Linked DNA regions of Pelodiscus sinensis. The protein of the gene in region 1 interacts with the protein of each later gene in a pairwise test. Links are inferred from orthologs where the notes say so. Each region holds a gene or a part of one and is shown in the gene's direction. Other genes may lie near its edges.

Region 1 (7,887 bases):
AATGACAGTCCTGAGGCCCTAGATGTCCCTTCTTTACAGGACTTTAGCGTTTTCTCCACAGATTCCTGCCTACAGCTCTCAGATGCAGTTTCACCCAGTTTGCCAGGATCTCTGGACAGTCCTGTAGATATTTCTGCTGACAGTTTTGACTTTTTTACAGACACACTCACTACCATTGACTTGCAGCATCTGAATTATTGAGAAATTAAAGACGTCCTATCTATCGCAAAGGGTTATGGCTTCTTGTTTCAAATTCCTTTTTTGATTTTTCTTTTCCTGGTCAGTATTTTCTGTTTATTAATTCCCTGTACTGTGTTCCAGAGCCATTTTTACTGTTTCTTATGAAGTTTTAGTTGTGTCCATTTTAACCTAGTCACATTCTAGGTCCCTCTATGAAAGCAATATATGAGGCCTGTAAGAAAGTGATCATATAGAATTGTATCTTCACTTTCTTTTTATTTTTGTATTACATTAGGATGCGTTGTCATAAGTATTTTTGGTAGAATAAATTCTTGTTTGCTACAAGTAGCTTTCTTCTCTCTTTCTCTCTCTAGACATAACGGGTATTCCCCCCCACCCCTCCTAATTTATCCTCAGAAATAACATTAGACATTCTGGTCACAATCTCTCACCTTTTGGTAATTTGATAGATTTATTAGAGCGAAAAAAATCACATTCAATTTCTTTATTGCAAAGGTTCTCACAAGTCAATTCAAAGTACCCGATGAGTCTCACCAACAAAGGTAATAACTAAACCCCTCCACATCAAGATTTCTTCTTTTTAATGTACATATAACAGGTTGTCTATGTGTGTGAACGCAAGTCTTGGATTTTCTAACTCGTGACAAAAACCATAATGTGCAGTTTCGGCTGTTACAGGCAAAATATAATCTATTATACATGGGAACGTGCCTGCCATAGAAGCTGGCTTGTTACACGAGTGGAAGACTCATTTTAAACACCGTATTCTTCTGTAACTCAGCGCAAATATGTCCACCAGGTCGTTTTCTGAAACACGTCCTTAAAAATACAAAGGCTAACAAAGTGCGGCTTGGATTAGCTCCCATGTGCTGAAAGATTCCAAGAAAACAAACCTAAAAAAGAGAGGAAATAAGAACAATTATTATCGAGAAAATCCATTTCGGAGGGATTTAAATTCTAAATGCAGTTCCTTTCGGGCTTTTCTGCGGGGTCTCATAACGAGGTCGCTTTCTTTTAAAACCGGTTTGCGATGCTAAGGGTGGGTCATTAAAACTGGAAGCGAATGGTGAACATGTTTCAATTGCAATGAAGCCACTTGAACGGCTCACTGTCCCAAATGTGTAACTTTTTTAATTACAGCGGTAACGAAGCTCATTAAAAACTACAACTAATTAGGTAAGAATATATTATCGATATTAATAACCCAGTTCAGAAGGCGAGCGGGTTTCTTTTTATACTGCGCTAAAATCAAGCAACAGATGCTTAGTAAGTAGTTTTACTGCTCACAGATCGCGTCGCCTTTTGATTTTGAATATTCTGGGGTATATCTGAAACGCGGTCAATGAATCCATGTGTCTGGAGTAGTTTGTTTCCATTTCATTTGAGGTGTGTTGTTTCTCTGATCCGCAACACTCTGTGGAGCTGGGATGCGTGGGCAATAGCTGGAAGGGCTGGATGCAATTCTTCCTAAACTCATAAATCACGCTCTTTCTATGAATGAGAATGTCATCAAAGAGATCAATGACAGGAACACATGCACAAATAAAAATCCTCTTACGTATTTGCCGGAGCCGGGGATCCCCGTCTGAAACCATTAAGTTAGGAGGCGTTTAGTCATAATTCATTTTTATTGCTCGTTTAAAACAACAGATTGGCTGAGCTGCGGATGCCGCAGAAACCTCGGCCCAGCTTCTCTCTCTCTCTCTCTCTCTCTCTCCCTGCTTCAGCACTTTCGCTTTTGGAACAGGGCAGTTTCCTCGAGGATTTTAACGCCTGTTCGAATGGACTTTAATTATTGGCGTTACGATATTTCGCTAAGACTTTTACACAGCGTGATGTCATAGCGTCTTCTTAAATGGACCGGGCTGTTTAATCAAAGGCCAGCAAACTTCTCTCGGGATTTATTTAAATTCAATATCTGCAAATCTAGCTGATAGAATTCCTCTAAGAAACGCATTGTTACCCCTAAAGTTCGTGTGTGTGTGTGTGTGAAAGACACACAGGCATATACACACAAGTATTATTTGGGGAATGTTCCAAGAATGCGCACGAGGCGCCAGAAATGCTTCAAAGCTTTGAATTGCTGGGGAAGGAACTCGACTTTCTGCAAACCGATGGGCCGAAGCAACAAAGGGGGCAGGCTGGGGGCTAGCATAAAGGTTTTCCTTTTATAAGAGCAGCATAGCTCTGAATTTTGTGTGCATATGCCATCGTGTCTGAGGGCAACTTTTCTCTTTGGGAGGGAGAAGAGGTATTTTATCCCTGGTGTCCCTCCTTTCCATTATGTGGCATGGAGGCACTGTAATGGCAGCAGAATCCGAGGCATTGAAGGAGGACAATGTAACAAAAGACACGGATTTCTTCAAAACAATGGTACAGAAATGAAGGAAACCGTTTAAAGGAAGCAAAGGAGAGTAACAGAGGAGCTGTTACTTGGCAAAAACCACGGGTAAATATTGGGAAAGGAATTCTATCTGCTGTTAGATTTGCAGCTACATTGTTTTTAAATATGGAGAGAAGTTCACTGTTCTTGCAGTAAACAATTCTGTTCTATTAATATGATGGTATGACATCAGTGGTGTATATAAATAGATTATACATGCATGGTATATTATACACTTTTGTTAATCGTCAAAGTTTGTGTGAGAGAGAGAGACCCAGGAAAAAGACATCTCTTTTTCGGTAAACAGATACACCAGCCCGAGTCTGCACCTGGTGTATACAGCATTTATCACAACGGATTGACAAGAATTAAATAAGACAATATTGCAGCCCAAAAAGGGTTTGAGGGACCATTGTTCCATACCGGCTTGCTGGCCACCCCTCCCTTTGACACCCCCCCCCCCCCGCTTTTAAAGACATTGGATGTTTTCAATCGACTCTAATCTGTTCAAGTGTGTAAAATGTAAATAGAAAGACAAACCTTTTATGGATAAGTTTAAGAGGGGGAACGTATATTCGGTGATATCAGGGGGGGCTATGGAGGTGAAACGAACACATGGGTAGCCCGAATAGGAGCCTCGGAAACTTTTGGTAGCTTATCACTTGGAAGAGGATGTTGCACTTCAGTGTGTGTGGGTGGAGGGAGAGGGCTGGAGAAAGGAAAGGGGGAAATAGCCTTTTATATTTTAAGATACAAGCAACAATCAATCGGGCACGGTGACAAAGCAACACATGCCAAAGTTGAAGTGTATCTGCATAAATACACGGAGAGTTCTTCAGACTGAAAAAGATAAGAATAAAACTATTTCCGAAGTTACATGGCTATCTGCATGTTGACTAGCTCTTGAACTGTGTGAAAAGATAAGGTGAATGTGAACTCAGATGCCAAACACCATCCACGCTTTTCTATAAAATGGTACAATTTTCCTTGCCTGGAACAAGAGAAAGTTTGAGATAGATCACCCAGGGGGTTGTGGTGGTGTGGGGGGGGGGGGGGGGGAGGGAGGGGCTTAGCCATCTGTTACCTTTCCCCTCTACTCTCTGTCTACTCTATGGTGGAGTAGGCAGCCACCAAGTGACAAAGAGGATTAATTGGAAATAGGGACTGCTGTGGCTGGCACCTCACCTCCTTTGCTTTCCCCTCCCCCTAACTCCTGGGCATGTCCTCCAGTGCTTGGGTGTGTTAGGACCTGTCCCTGGATCTCACGCATTGCATCCGTGTGTGTGTGTGTGTGTGTGTGTGTGTGTGTGTGTGTGTGTGTGGCACAGGACCCCGCAGATGGATTGCAGAACCTGGAAAAGCTTCCACGTTTGCAATCGTCATCCATTTTCCTGCCTTTCCTCCCCGCTCTCCGCCCCCCGTCCCCTCCCCAGCCCCGACACCGACCGAGCTCTAGGCAGAGCCCTAACAACCAGGGGCCGGTGCAGCAGCGCTCCGGCCGCTCCGCTGGCCCCGCGCCCCAGCACAATGGCGTTAAATTACAAAGGCGCCTCATTTCCATGCTAATCACAGCGGCGCGGCGGGGACCCGGAGGGACAAGCCCCTTTAACTCTTAGCTGCTCGAGCGCGGGGCTCTCCGGAAGGGGATACCCCCCCCGGGCGGTGTGAGCCCCGCAACGCCGCTCGGAGCCCCCCTTTGCACAGCCCGCTTCCCCGCCCCGCACATGCACCCTCCAGCCGTAGGACCACGGGGGGGGGGGGCTGTCCCGATCGCCGAGGGGACTTCCCTGGAGCGGCGCTGAGGACCGCTGGACACCCCCACCCCTCCAAGCGCCCTGGGAAGGGAGCGGCCCCGACCCGCTGTGGGCGCCCAAAGCGAGCGAGCGCCTCTTACCTGGCCGCCTCCAGCTGGGGCTCCGAGCCCTGTAATCCAGGCTGCAACCCCCCCCCCCCCCCTTCAACCCCTCCAGTGGCGCCTCCGCTGCTGCAGGCTGCGCGCCCGGGCGCACACTGTCTCTCCGGCCCCGGCTCCGAAGCCCCAATGCACTGGCTCAGGGGGAGGGAGCCGGGGGGGGGGAGAGGGAGGTGGTGGCGGCTTCGCGTCACCTTGATGGAGGAGCGCTCGGAATTTAAATGCCACTGAAAGGGTGATCCATCACCAGCCGGAGCAGGGCCCTTGCAGCAGGAGGCTCAGCCATTGGCTGCCGCCCTCACGTGCCCCCAGCTCACTGTACATTCATATCATTTTCCTCCCGGCCCCATGGAGGAAGTGGGAAAGTTGGCACGGTCACCCAGGGCTCTGAAGACCCGGCCACTCGGTGATAAATGGACACGGCGAGGATGAGTTCCTTCCTCGAGTACCCCATCCTCGGCGGCGAGCCCGGGGCATGCTCTTCCCGCACCTACCCCCCAGAGCATGGGATTACAACTTTCCAGTCCTGTGCGGTCACTGCCACTCACTGCAACGGGGAGGATCGCTTTATGGTTGGCAGGGGGGTCCAGATAAGTCCCCACCACCACCACCATCAGACCGGTGCCTACCAGCCTCACAACAATCTGGGCATGTCCTACTCTAGCTGTGGCACGGGATATGGCACCCAGAACTTCAGCGCGGGTTACAGTCCCTACGCACTAAATCAGGAAGCAGATGTCAGTGGAGGGTATCCCCAATGCGCCCCCGCCGTGTACTCTGGAAACCTCTCATCTGCCATGGTCCAGCATCCCCACCCTCACCAAGGTTATGCTGGGGCCCCGGTGGGTCCCGCTCAGTACATGCACCCCTCATACGGACAGGAGCAGCAGAACCTGCCTCTAGCGAGTTATAGCAATTCCTTATCCCCTCTCCATGCCAGCCACCAAGAAGCTTGTCGCTCTCCTTCTGCAGAGACCTCGCCTCCAGCACAAACCTTTGACTGGATGAAAGTTAAAAGAAACCCGCCTAAAACAGGTTAGTCGCGATTTCAGAGCAGGGGGCTGTTTCTTTCCTCTTCCACTTTCTTTAATAAAACGAGACCAAACCCTTCTTACCTACAGCGGGCAGGTGCCTTGTTGTTTACAGGTAAGGAGGTCTGAGACCACTAAGGATGGACAGGGTCCTCCAGCTGATCGAATGGAAGTTCCAAGCGGGGGTTTTCTGTGGTAATATTTCTTGTAATTCGTAAACAATTTATCAAGTTGCCTTTGATACACACTAGTGGCCGACTTTATGTTAGCACCTCACACTCCATCACTCACTGTCCCCGGATTCCTCTCGTTGTAAGAAGTTCTTGTTTCATATCGTTTTACCTGTGTGTACATGCTGTGATTATGTCGCCTGTGCCTCACTCATTGAACGCTGACTGTACTTTTGCAGGGAAAGCTGGAGAGTACGGATACGTAGGTCAGCCCAACACCGTTCGGACCAATTTTACCACCAAGCAGCTCACAGAACTGGAGAAAGAATTCCACTTCAACAAGTACTTGACGAGGGCAAGGAGGGTGGAGATAGCTGCTTCACTGCAGCTGAATGAAACACAGGTGAAGATCTGGTTCCAGAACCGTAGAATGAAGCAGAAGAAAAGAGAGAAAGAGGGGCTGCTCCCCATTTCCCCTGCTACCCCAACAGGAAGTGAAGAAAAAACAGAAGAATCATCAGAAAAGTCCAGTTCATCCCCATGCACCCCATCACCAGCTTCATCTACCTCAGACACTCTAACTACCTCAAACTGAAATATTTCTGGCCCCCACTGCATTAGATCTATGTCTCTCACTCTAGAGCCACATCTTTAGCAAGCTTCATTGATTTAAAGTATTTTTAATCTTTCAGTCATCTTTACTTTCAATCCACTTGTTTCCAGAGAATTTAGTTTTAGAAGGCTCTCCGGCTGTTTAGTCTATGCAGAACTAAACAGTGGTTTCCATAATCAGGTTTCTGTTGACCACTTATTCAATATTTCTATTTTTAAAAATTCCAGCTCGCGCTGTTATTTGCTGCAGAAGATTTGTTGGCACAGTTATAAGAGTTTCTCTCAGTAGAAAAAAAAATCAAGGACATTTCTATATTTTTCCTTACATAAAGACAGGATATGTAGAGTACATAACCTCATGAAGAGATGCACTATTGAGAGTGTTTACACGAATTATAGTACCTTCATCCTTTAATTTAATGTATTCTTTTTCGTGTGTATGAGTTTGCTGGTTGTAAATACTTTGTCCAAGAGATTTATCTTTTTACAGATTTTCTAGAAATGCTGTTTAGATTATCAGATTAAATAGGGTAGGTACATTCTCAAAGTTGGATTCAATTTTATATTGTTAAAACTGATGATCATATAAGATGATTTGTTAATGTCAATCAGATACCTCAAATAATGGCACGGTTTCTTTTGATGAGATAGAAGAAAAAGGCTTCAATTGCACTAGGTTTTGTAAACCTTGCGTGGTATGTTCACTCCCCCATCTGTGCTGGATTATATTGGACCTAAGGGTATATTATCCAAAAGACCTGACCTACTCCTATTTTCATATTAATCCTACCCTCGACTCGATGTCTTTTCGACCAAATCGTAAATGTGATGAATGGCCAAATGAATGTATATTTTATGTGATTCGTGTATGGAACACTGCATGATGCACAGTGCTTTGATGTACTTAAGGTACACTGAGTTTTATCAGTTGTCATTTGTGAACAGAACCATCTTCCTGATTTTTCTGTGCAATCATTTAAAGGTTCTGAGATTCTGAGCGTGATGAATCCAGAACAGAATTTACGGGTCCGAAAATGTCTGTAATAAATATATTCACGTTTCAGGTATGCTTGATGTGGGTCCTTTTTATTTCCTCTCGTGCCGTTGTTGATCATACTTAGCTCAACATTTCATTGTCACTGATGTGGCCTTTGATATGCGACTTAATAAAAAATAATTTCTCCTGATCGTGAGGTGAGGTCAGAACTCTGTTCGACCCTGCCACATTACACAAGTCTAATTCCCTTTTTTTAATGTTTCACCAATATTATCTTTTAGGAAATATAAGAAAACACCCGCTCTCTAGTGCAGCAGAGGGAATTTATGAACTAGATCTATTTTTGAAAAACACATACTAGAACTTCCTGGTTCAAGTGCTAACCTTTTCACCTCGAACTGCACGCTGACATAGATATAAACAGCACTCTTCAAAAGCAGAAACTGTCTTCAGTCAGTTTTCCTTCACATCGTAGGCCCATAGTTCAGAGAGTCACATTTAATTAGCCCTGGTTTAAAGCTGACCCAAGAAATGCAGCTTCATTCTCTCTCCCATTGCCAGTGACATCTTTAGGATGTTCA
Region 2 (7,619 bases), on another chromosome or scaffold:
AAACTCATCCCTGACCCAGCAGCAGGCGAACCAATAGTGAGGGGTATTAGCCTCAGGTGCCCCACCCCACACAGTTCCCAGACTCAGGGGATGTAAGGAGATAAGAGCGGCCAGACTGGGTCAGACCAAAGGTCCGTCTAGCCCAGTGTCCTGCATGCCCACAGTGGTCAATGCCAGGTGTGGGAGGGAGTGAACAAAACAGGGAATCGTCATGTGATCCTTCCCTGTCACCCGTTCCCAGCTTCTGACAACCAGAGGCTAGGACACCACCCCTACCCATCCTGCCCAATAGCCATTGATGGACCTATTCCCCATGAACTGCTCTCATTCTTTTCTGAACCCTGTTAAAGTCCTGTTCTTCGCAACATCCTCTGGCAAGGAGTTCCACAGGTTGTTTCTGCGTTGTGTGACGAAATATAGCTGGTCAGCCTGCTCCTCAGAAGGGCTGGAACCACATGTGTAGCTAGGGGGCTGAGAGCTTGTAAACCAAGCCATATTCCTTGTCCGCAACAGAAATCCCTCCAAGCCAGCAGGTGCAGCATCTTGTGCCTTGCAGCAGGGCTATATTGGAGGATACCGGACTGGTTTTATGGAGTGCTGGGTCTGCATTAGGGCTGTGCACCGACCTTTCCACAGCATAGCAGCTACATGGGGGCAGGCAGGGCCTGATCCTGCCTGAGGAAGGAGCCCTCTTGGGAGGGGCTGAGCACACAGCCCCATTTGTGGGAGGGGGGCTGGGTTCATCCGGGGTGGGGTAGTTCCTTGTCCCCAGGCCCAGCCTGCACCCTTGCAGCTGCTGGTTAGCAAGGTCACACAGAGTCAGGCCTAGAACCCTGAGCACCCGGGAAGCTGGAGAGAGCCTGGGGGCGGGGCGGGAAGGGCTTAGAGTCATCGTGGACAGTTCGGTGAAAACCTCTACTCAACAGGCAGCGGCAGTGGAAAGAGGCGAACAGAGGGGGTGGGAATGACTGAGAAAGGGTTAGAGGGTAGGACGGAGAACACCCTGCTGCCTCCGTCCACATCCGTGGCACGCCCACATCTGGGATAGCGCATGCAGGTGGGTGGGGCCCGTGGCCTGTGATCCCTGCAAGCTGGGCACTCGGGCGGCCACCCAGGAGAAGTTCAAACACCGCCCAGCTGATTAGCAGAGCACCCCCAGCTGGCAGCAGCTGGCAGCGTGTTTCTATGGGTGGTGCACCTCCGCACATGCCCTGGTGCATAGAACAACATTTATTCTGCCCATGGATGGAAAAAAGTAATGGGAACATGGTAGGCGGGATAGGAGGTTCAGGTGGGATGGGGGAGCAGGGTACAGGTGGGGTGGGAGTACAGAAGGAATGGCTGTGCAGGAGGGTGGAGGTGCAGAGGGAACACATAGGATGGGGTACAGGCGGCACAGGGTGTTCAGGGGGTATGGGCGGGGTGGGGTGCAGGGATATGAGCTGTGTGGTGGGGTGCGGACAGCACTTGTGGGACGGGGGTGAGGTGGGAGTGCAGGCTGTGCACTGGGGTGGGGGCTGTGGGTACAGGAGGATATGGGCTGTGCAGAGAGCTGTGGGATGCAGGGGTATAGGTGGGGACCCGGAAGGGGTGTGGGAGGTGCAGGCTGTGCAGAGAGATGGGAGTTGTGGGGGTATGAGCTGTGCAGTGGAGAGGTGCACAGGATGGGGAGTGCAGGGGATATGAGCGGGGGTGCTGAAGGTCTGGGCAATGTGGGGGGCAGGGAGATATGGGGGGCAGCATGGGTCTGGGTAGCACAGTGGAAGGTGCGGGGGGTCAGGGCAGCATTGTGGAGGACATGGGCGTACAGGCAGCAGGGGGTCGGGAAGCACAGTGCAGGGTGTGGAGGGGTCCAGGCACCACAGTGGAGGGGGCAGGAGATATGGGTGGGGGGCAAGGGGTCCAGCAATGTGATGGGGCAAAGGTTAGAGGCAGAGGGTGGGGGCATCCAGGCAGTGCAGTGGGGGGCAGGAGATCCGGGCAGCACAATGAGGGGCAGGGGGTACTGACTGGGATGGGGGGGGTCTGGGCAGTGCAGTGAGAGGGCAGGAGATTCAGGCAACACAATAGGGTGGGGGATACAGGCAGAGGATTACAGGGATTTCAGGCACTACGGTGGGGTGTGGAGGATACAGGTGGGATACGGGGGCCTGGGCAGTCTGGTGCGGGGAAGGGGTTTCAGGCTGTACAGTGGGTGCAGGTGGATACAGGCAGGGATGCAGGGATTTCAGGCGCCCTGGTGGGCGCAGGGGGATACAGGTGGTGGGGTGAGAGGGTTTCAGGCAGCACAGTGGGGTTCAGAAGATACAGGTGGGGGCTGCAGGGGTCCAGGCAACAGGGTGGGGTCCAGTAGTGCACTGAGGGACGGGGGATATAGGCAAGAGGGTGTGGGGGGTTCAGGCAGCACAGTGGGTGCAGAGGGGTTACAGGCGATCGGTGCGGGGGTCTGGGCAGCATGGTGGGTGCGAGGGGATACAGATGGGGGTACAGGGGTTTCAGGCAACATGGTGGATGCAGAGGATACAGGCAAGAGGGGTACAGGGGTTTCAGGCAGCACTGTGGATGCGGGGGGTACAGGCAACAGGGTGCAGGAGTTTCAGGTGGTGTGGTGTGTGCGGAGTGGTTACAGGCAGGAGGGTTCAGGGATTTAAGGCAGCAGGGTGGGTGGACGGGTACAGGCGGGAAGGTGCCAGGGTTTCAGGTAGCATGGTTGGTGCAGGGGGGGTAGAGGCAGGGGGGTGCAGGGGTTTCAGGCAGCACAGTGGGTGCAGGGGGTACAGGCAGGGGCACGTGGGGGTTTCAGGCAGCGTGGTGGGTGTGGAGGGGTTATAGGCGGGAGGTGCGGGGCTCCGGGCACCACAGTAGGATACAGGCAGGAGGGTGCAGGGGTTTCAGGCAGCACGGTGGGTGCAGGGGGTACAGGCAGGAGGGTGCAGGGGTTTCAGGCAGCACAGGAGGTGCAGAGGGTACAGGCAGGAGGGTGCAGGGGTACAGGCAGCACAGCGGGTGCAGAGGGTACAGGCAGGAGGGTGCAGGGGGTACAGGCAGGAGGGCAGGTGCAGGGGGTACAGGCAAGAGGGTGCAGGGGGTACAGGCAGCAGAGCGGGTGCAGGGGGTACAGGCAGGAGGGTGCAGGGATTTCAGGCAGCACAGTGACCGCAGGGGTTTCAGGCAGCACAGGAGGTGCAGAGGGTACAGGCAGGAGGGTGCAGGGGTACAGGCAGCACAGCGGGTGCAGAGGGTACAGGCAGGAGGGTGCAGGGGGTACAGGCAGGAGGGCAGGTGCAGGGGGTACAGGCAGGAGGGTGCAGGGGGTACAGGCAGGAGGGCAGGTGCAGGGGGTACAGGCAAGAGGGTGCAGGGGGTACAGGCAGCACAGTGGGTGCAGGGGGTACAGGCAGGAGGGTGCAGGGGTTTCAGGCAGCACGGCGGGTGCAGGGGTTTCAGGCAGCACAGTGGGTGCAGGGGGTACAGGCAGGGGTTGCAGGGGTTTCAGGCAGCACAGTGGGTGCAGGGGGTACAGGCAGGGGGTGCAGGGGTTTCAGGCAGCACAGTGGGAGCAGGGGGTACAGGCAGGGGGGTGCAGGGGTTTCAGGCAGCACAGTGGGTGCAGGGGGTACAGGCAGGGGGTGCAGGGGTTTCAGGCAGCACAGTGGGTGCAGGGGGTACAGGCAGGAGGGTGCAGGGGTTTCAGGAAGCATGGTAGGTGCAGGGGGGTACAAGCAGGAGGGTGCAGGGGGTACAGGCAGCACAGTAGGTGCAGGGGGTACAGGCAGGGGCTGCAGGAGGTTCAGGCAGCACAGTAGGTGCAAGGGGTACAGGCAGGGGGGTGCAGGGGTTTCAGGCAGCACAGCGGGTGCAGGGGGTACAAGCAGGGGGGTGCAGGGGTTTCAGGCAGCACAGTGGGTGCAGGGGGTACAGGCAGGAGGGTGCAGGGGTTTCAGGCAGCATGGTAGGTGCAGGGGGTACAGGCAGGAAGGTGCAGGGGATACAGGCAGGGGGGGTGCAGGGGTTTCAGGCAGCACAGCGGGTACACAGGGTACAGGCAGGGGGTGCAGAGGTTTCAGGCAGTACAGTAGGTGCATGGGGTACAGGCAGGGGGTGCAGAGGTTTCAGGCAGCACAGCGGGTACACAGGGTACAGGCAGGGGGTGCAGAGGTTTCAGGCAGCACAGGGGGTGCAGGGGGTACAAGCAGGAGGGTGCAGGGGGTACAGGCAGCACAGTGGGTGCAGGGGGTTCAAGCAGGAGGGTGCAGGGGTTTCAGGCAGCACAGGGGGTGCAGGGGGTTCAAGCAGAGGCATGCGGGGGTTTTAGGCAGCGAGGTGGGTGCGGAGGGGTTCTAGCGGGAGGTGCGGGGCTCGGGCAGCACAGAGGGGGCCGGCAGCGCAGCAGGAGGTGCGGGGGCCCGGGCTTCCCTGCCGCGGACAGGGCGGGGGCCCCTCCGTCTGTTCTCCGGGGCTGTCAGTCGGGGCAGAGGCAGCTCCGCGGAGCGGGGCGTGCGCGGGGCCGGGCTGTCCCGTCCCGCTCCCCCCGTCGGGCTCCCCGCCCGCTGCCATTGGGCGGATCGGCCGGGCGGGCTGCGCGCACCGCGGGCCCAATCCACAAGCCCCCCGCGGCCCCGCGTCTGCTTCCCATTGGGCTCCGGGCCGCGGGCGCTGGGACCCCCGCTGGGGGCCCTAATCCCCCGGCCGGCGGCTGCCTGCGCCTCGTTAGCGGGGCCTTTGTTTGCTCAGGATGCCCCCGCTCCGCGCGGCCCGTGCCGGAGCCTATAAAACCTGCCGGGGGCCGGGGCCGGGGCACTGGGAGCCCTGACTCGCCCCGCGCCGCCCGCGGGGTCCCAGCCGTGCGCGCCCATGGCCCGCCTGCCGCTGCTGCTGGCCGCGCTGTCCCTCGCCCTCCGCCCCGCGCCGGCCGCCGCCTCCCGCCCCAAGCCGCTGCTGCCCATCCAGCCCGAGAAGGACCCGCTCCCCTCCAAGGGGGCGGCAGGTAGGGGCCCGGGGCGCGGGGATGGGGCGGCAGGTGGGAGCCCCCCGGGCGGCGCGGGGCAGCGGCTGGTCGGGGGGGCGGGGGCGGCCGGGGGCCAGGCTGGGGCGAGCGGGGCCCGCGGAGCGACTCCTGCTGCCCTCCCTGGCCCAGCTGCGCTCCAGCCTCCATCTGCTTCGCCTGCATCCACTGACACCCCCGTGCGCTCGGCTTGGACGCGTGACAGCGGCGGGGAGGGGCCGGGCCGGGCAGCGTGTCACCAGCGCGGCAGCTCACAGCCCTGCCCGCTGGCCCAGCCCCGCGCCAGCCCTGCCAGGCGCGTGCCAGGGCTGGGGCAGGGGGGCAGAGCCCTGCCCCGTGCCAGAGGCAGCAGGCGGGTGCCAGGGCCTGCGCGAGGGGCCAGAGGCAGCCGGCAAGCCCCCATGGCATGGACATGGGCTGTGTGAGGTGTCCTGGGTGCAGCGGGCGGGCAGAGATGGCCCAGGGTGAGTGGGCCCAGGCCAGCCCCTGGCTGCCACAGGAGAGCAGAAGAGGGGGATTGGCTGGATGTGAGGGGGGAGTCCGTCTGGGTGCAGCAGGGTGGCACAAGGCCGGGTGCTGGGCCGCAAAGTCACATGTGGGTGCAGCAGGGTGGCACAGGACGGTGCGGCAGGGAGAACATAAGAACGGCCGTACTGGGTCAGACCAAAGGGCCATCTAGCCCAGTATCCTGTCTGCCGACAGTGGCCACCACCAGGTACCCCAGAGAGGATGGACGGAAGACAATGATCAAGCGATTTGTCTCCTGCCATCCCTCTCCAGCCTCTGACAAACAGAGGCCAAGGACACCATTTTATCCCCTGGCTAATAGCCTTTTATAGGCATCACTGAAACCTGGTGGAATGAGAGTGGCACAGGCTGGGCTCTGGGTGCGGCAGGGTGGCACAGGCTGGGTGCTGGGTACGGCAGGGTGGCACGGCTGGGCGCTGGGTGCAGCAGGGTGGCACAGCTGGGCGCTGGGTGGCATGGCTGGGCACTGGGTGCGGCAGGGTGGCACGGCTGGGGGCTGGGTGGCACAGGCTGGGCTCTGGGTACGACGGGGTGGCACAGGCTGGGCGCTGGGTGTGGCAGGGTGGCACAGGCTGGGCACTGGGTGCGGCAGGGTGGCACAGGCTGGGTGCTGGATACGGCAGGGTGGCATGGCTGGTCACTGGGTGCAGCAGGGTGGCACAGAATGGGTGCGGCAGGGTGGCACAGGCTGGACGCTGGGTGCGGCAGGGTGGCACGGCTGGGCGCTGGGTGCGGCAGAGTGGCACGGCTGGGCGCTGGGTGCGGCAGGGTGGCACAGGCTGGACGCTGGGTGCGGCAGGGTGGCACGGCTGGACGCTGGGTGCGGCAGGGTGGCCCGGCTGGGTGCTGGGTGTGGCTGGGTGGCACAGGCTGGATGCTGGGTGTGGCTGGGTGGCACAGGCTGGGCGCTGGGTGTGGCTGGGTGGCACAGGCTGGACGCTGGGTGTGGCAGGGTGGCACGGCTGGGCGCTGGGTGCGGCAGGGTGGCACAGGCTGGACGCTGGGTGCGGCAGGGTGGCCCGGCTGGGCGCTGGGTGCGGCAGGGTGGCACGGCTGGACGCTGGGTGCGGCAGGGTGGCACAGGCTGGGTGCTGGGTGCGGCAGGGTGGCACGGCTGGACGCTGGGTGTGGCAGGGTGGCACGGCTGGGCGCTGGGTGTGGCAGGGTGGCACGGCTGGGCGCTGGGTGCAGCAGGGTGGCACGGCGCTGGGTGCGGCAGGGTGGCACGGCTGGGCGCTGGGTGTAGCAGGGTGTCACAGCTGGGCGCTGGGTTGCCGGCTGTGCGCTCAGGAGTTTGTTCCCCATCTCCAGGCTGCTCGTTCGGAGGCAGGTTCTATGCCCTGGAAGACACCTGGCACCCGGATCTGGGCGAGCCCTTTGGGGTGATGCACTGTGTGGTCTGCTACTGTGAGCCGGTAAGTGGGGGCCCTCCTGCCCCTAGAGCACCTCTGAGGCTGCCCACTCGGTTGCTGCACTTCACAGTGGGCAGTGGGCACTGTGTTTGGCTCCCCCGGGCATTCAGGGGGCAGTACAGAGCCCTGGGGAGGGAAGGGGGCAGTACAGAGCCCTGTGGGGGGGGAAGGGGGCAGTACAGAGCCCTGTGGGGGGGGGAGGGGGCAGTACAGAGCCCTGTGGGGGGGGCAGTACGGAGCCCTGTGGGGGGGGGCAGTACAGAGCCCTGCGGGGGGGAAGGGGGCAGTACAGAGCCCTGTGGGGGGGGCAGTACAGAGCCCTGCGGGGGGGAAGGGGGCAGTACAGAGCCCTGTGGGGGAGGGGGCAGTACAGAGCCCTGTGGGGGGGGGCAGTACGGAGCCCTGTGGGGGGGGAAGGGGGCAGTACAGAGCCCTGTGGGGGAGGGGGCAGTACAGAGCCCTGTGGGGGGGGAAGGGGGCAGTACAGAGCCCTGTGGGGGGGGCAGTACGGAGCCCTGCGGGGGGGGGAAGGGGGCAGTACAGAGCCCTGCGGGGGGGGGAAGGGGGCAGTACAGAGCCCTGTGGGGGAGGGGGCAGTACAGAGCCCTGTGGGGGGGGAAGGGGGCAGTACAGAGCCCTGTGGGGGGGAAGGGGGCAGTACAGAGCCCTGCGGG

The links. The genes of interacting proteins can lie anywhere in the genome.
Region 2: the proteins of HOXA1 (region 1) and CHRD interact in binary tests that used the Homo sapiens proteins (3 or more experiments, as listed by UniProt). The link is inferred for Pelodiscus sinensis from reciprocal best matches to the Homo sapiens genes HOXA1 and CHRD.

What each region holds. Positions count from the first base shown.
Region 1 is NC_134712.1:196,637,286-196,645,172, forward strand, and holds HOXA1 (homeobox protein Hox-A1), read left to right. Parts: upstream 1-4,861; 5' UTR 4,862-4,909; coding exon 4,910-5,531; intron 5,532-5,936; coding exon 5,937-6,292; 3' UTR 6,293-7,476; downstream 7,477-7,887. Other genes in the region: HOXA2 (homeobox protein Hox-A2), read left to right, coding at 1-201. UniProt on the Homo sapiens protein: Sequence-specific transcription factor. Regulates multiple developmental processes including brainstem, inner and outer ear, abducens nerve and cardiovascular development and morphogenesis as well as cognition and behavior.
Region 2 is NC_134720.1:48,394,269-48,401,887, forward strand, and holds the start of CHRD (chordin), read left to right. Parts: upstream 1-4,542; 5' UTR 4,543-4,854; coding exon 4,855-4,987; intron 4,988-6,844; coding exon 6,845-6,948; intron 6,949-7,619. UniProt on the Homo sapiens protein: Dorsalizing factor. Key developmental protein that dorsalizes early vertebrate embryonic tissues by binding to ventralizing TGF-beta family bone morphogenetic proteins (BMPs) and sequestering them in latent complexes.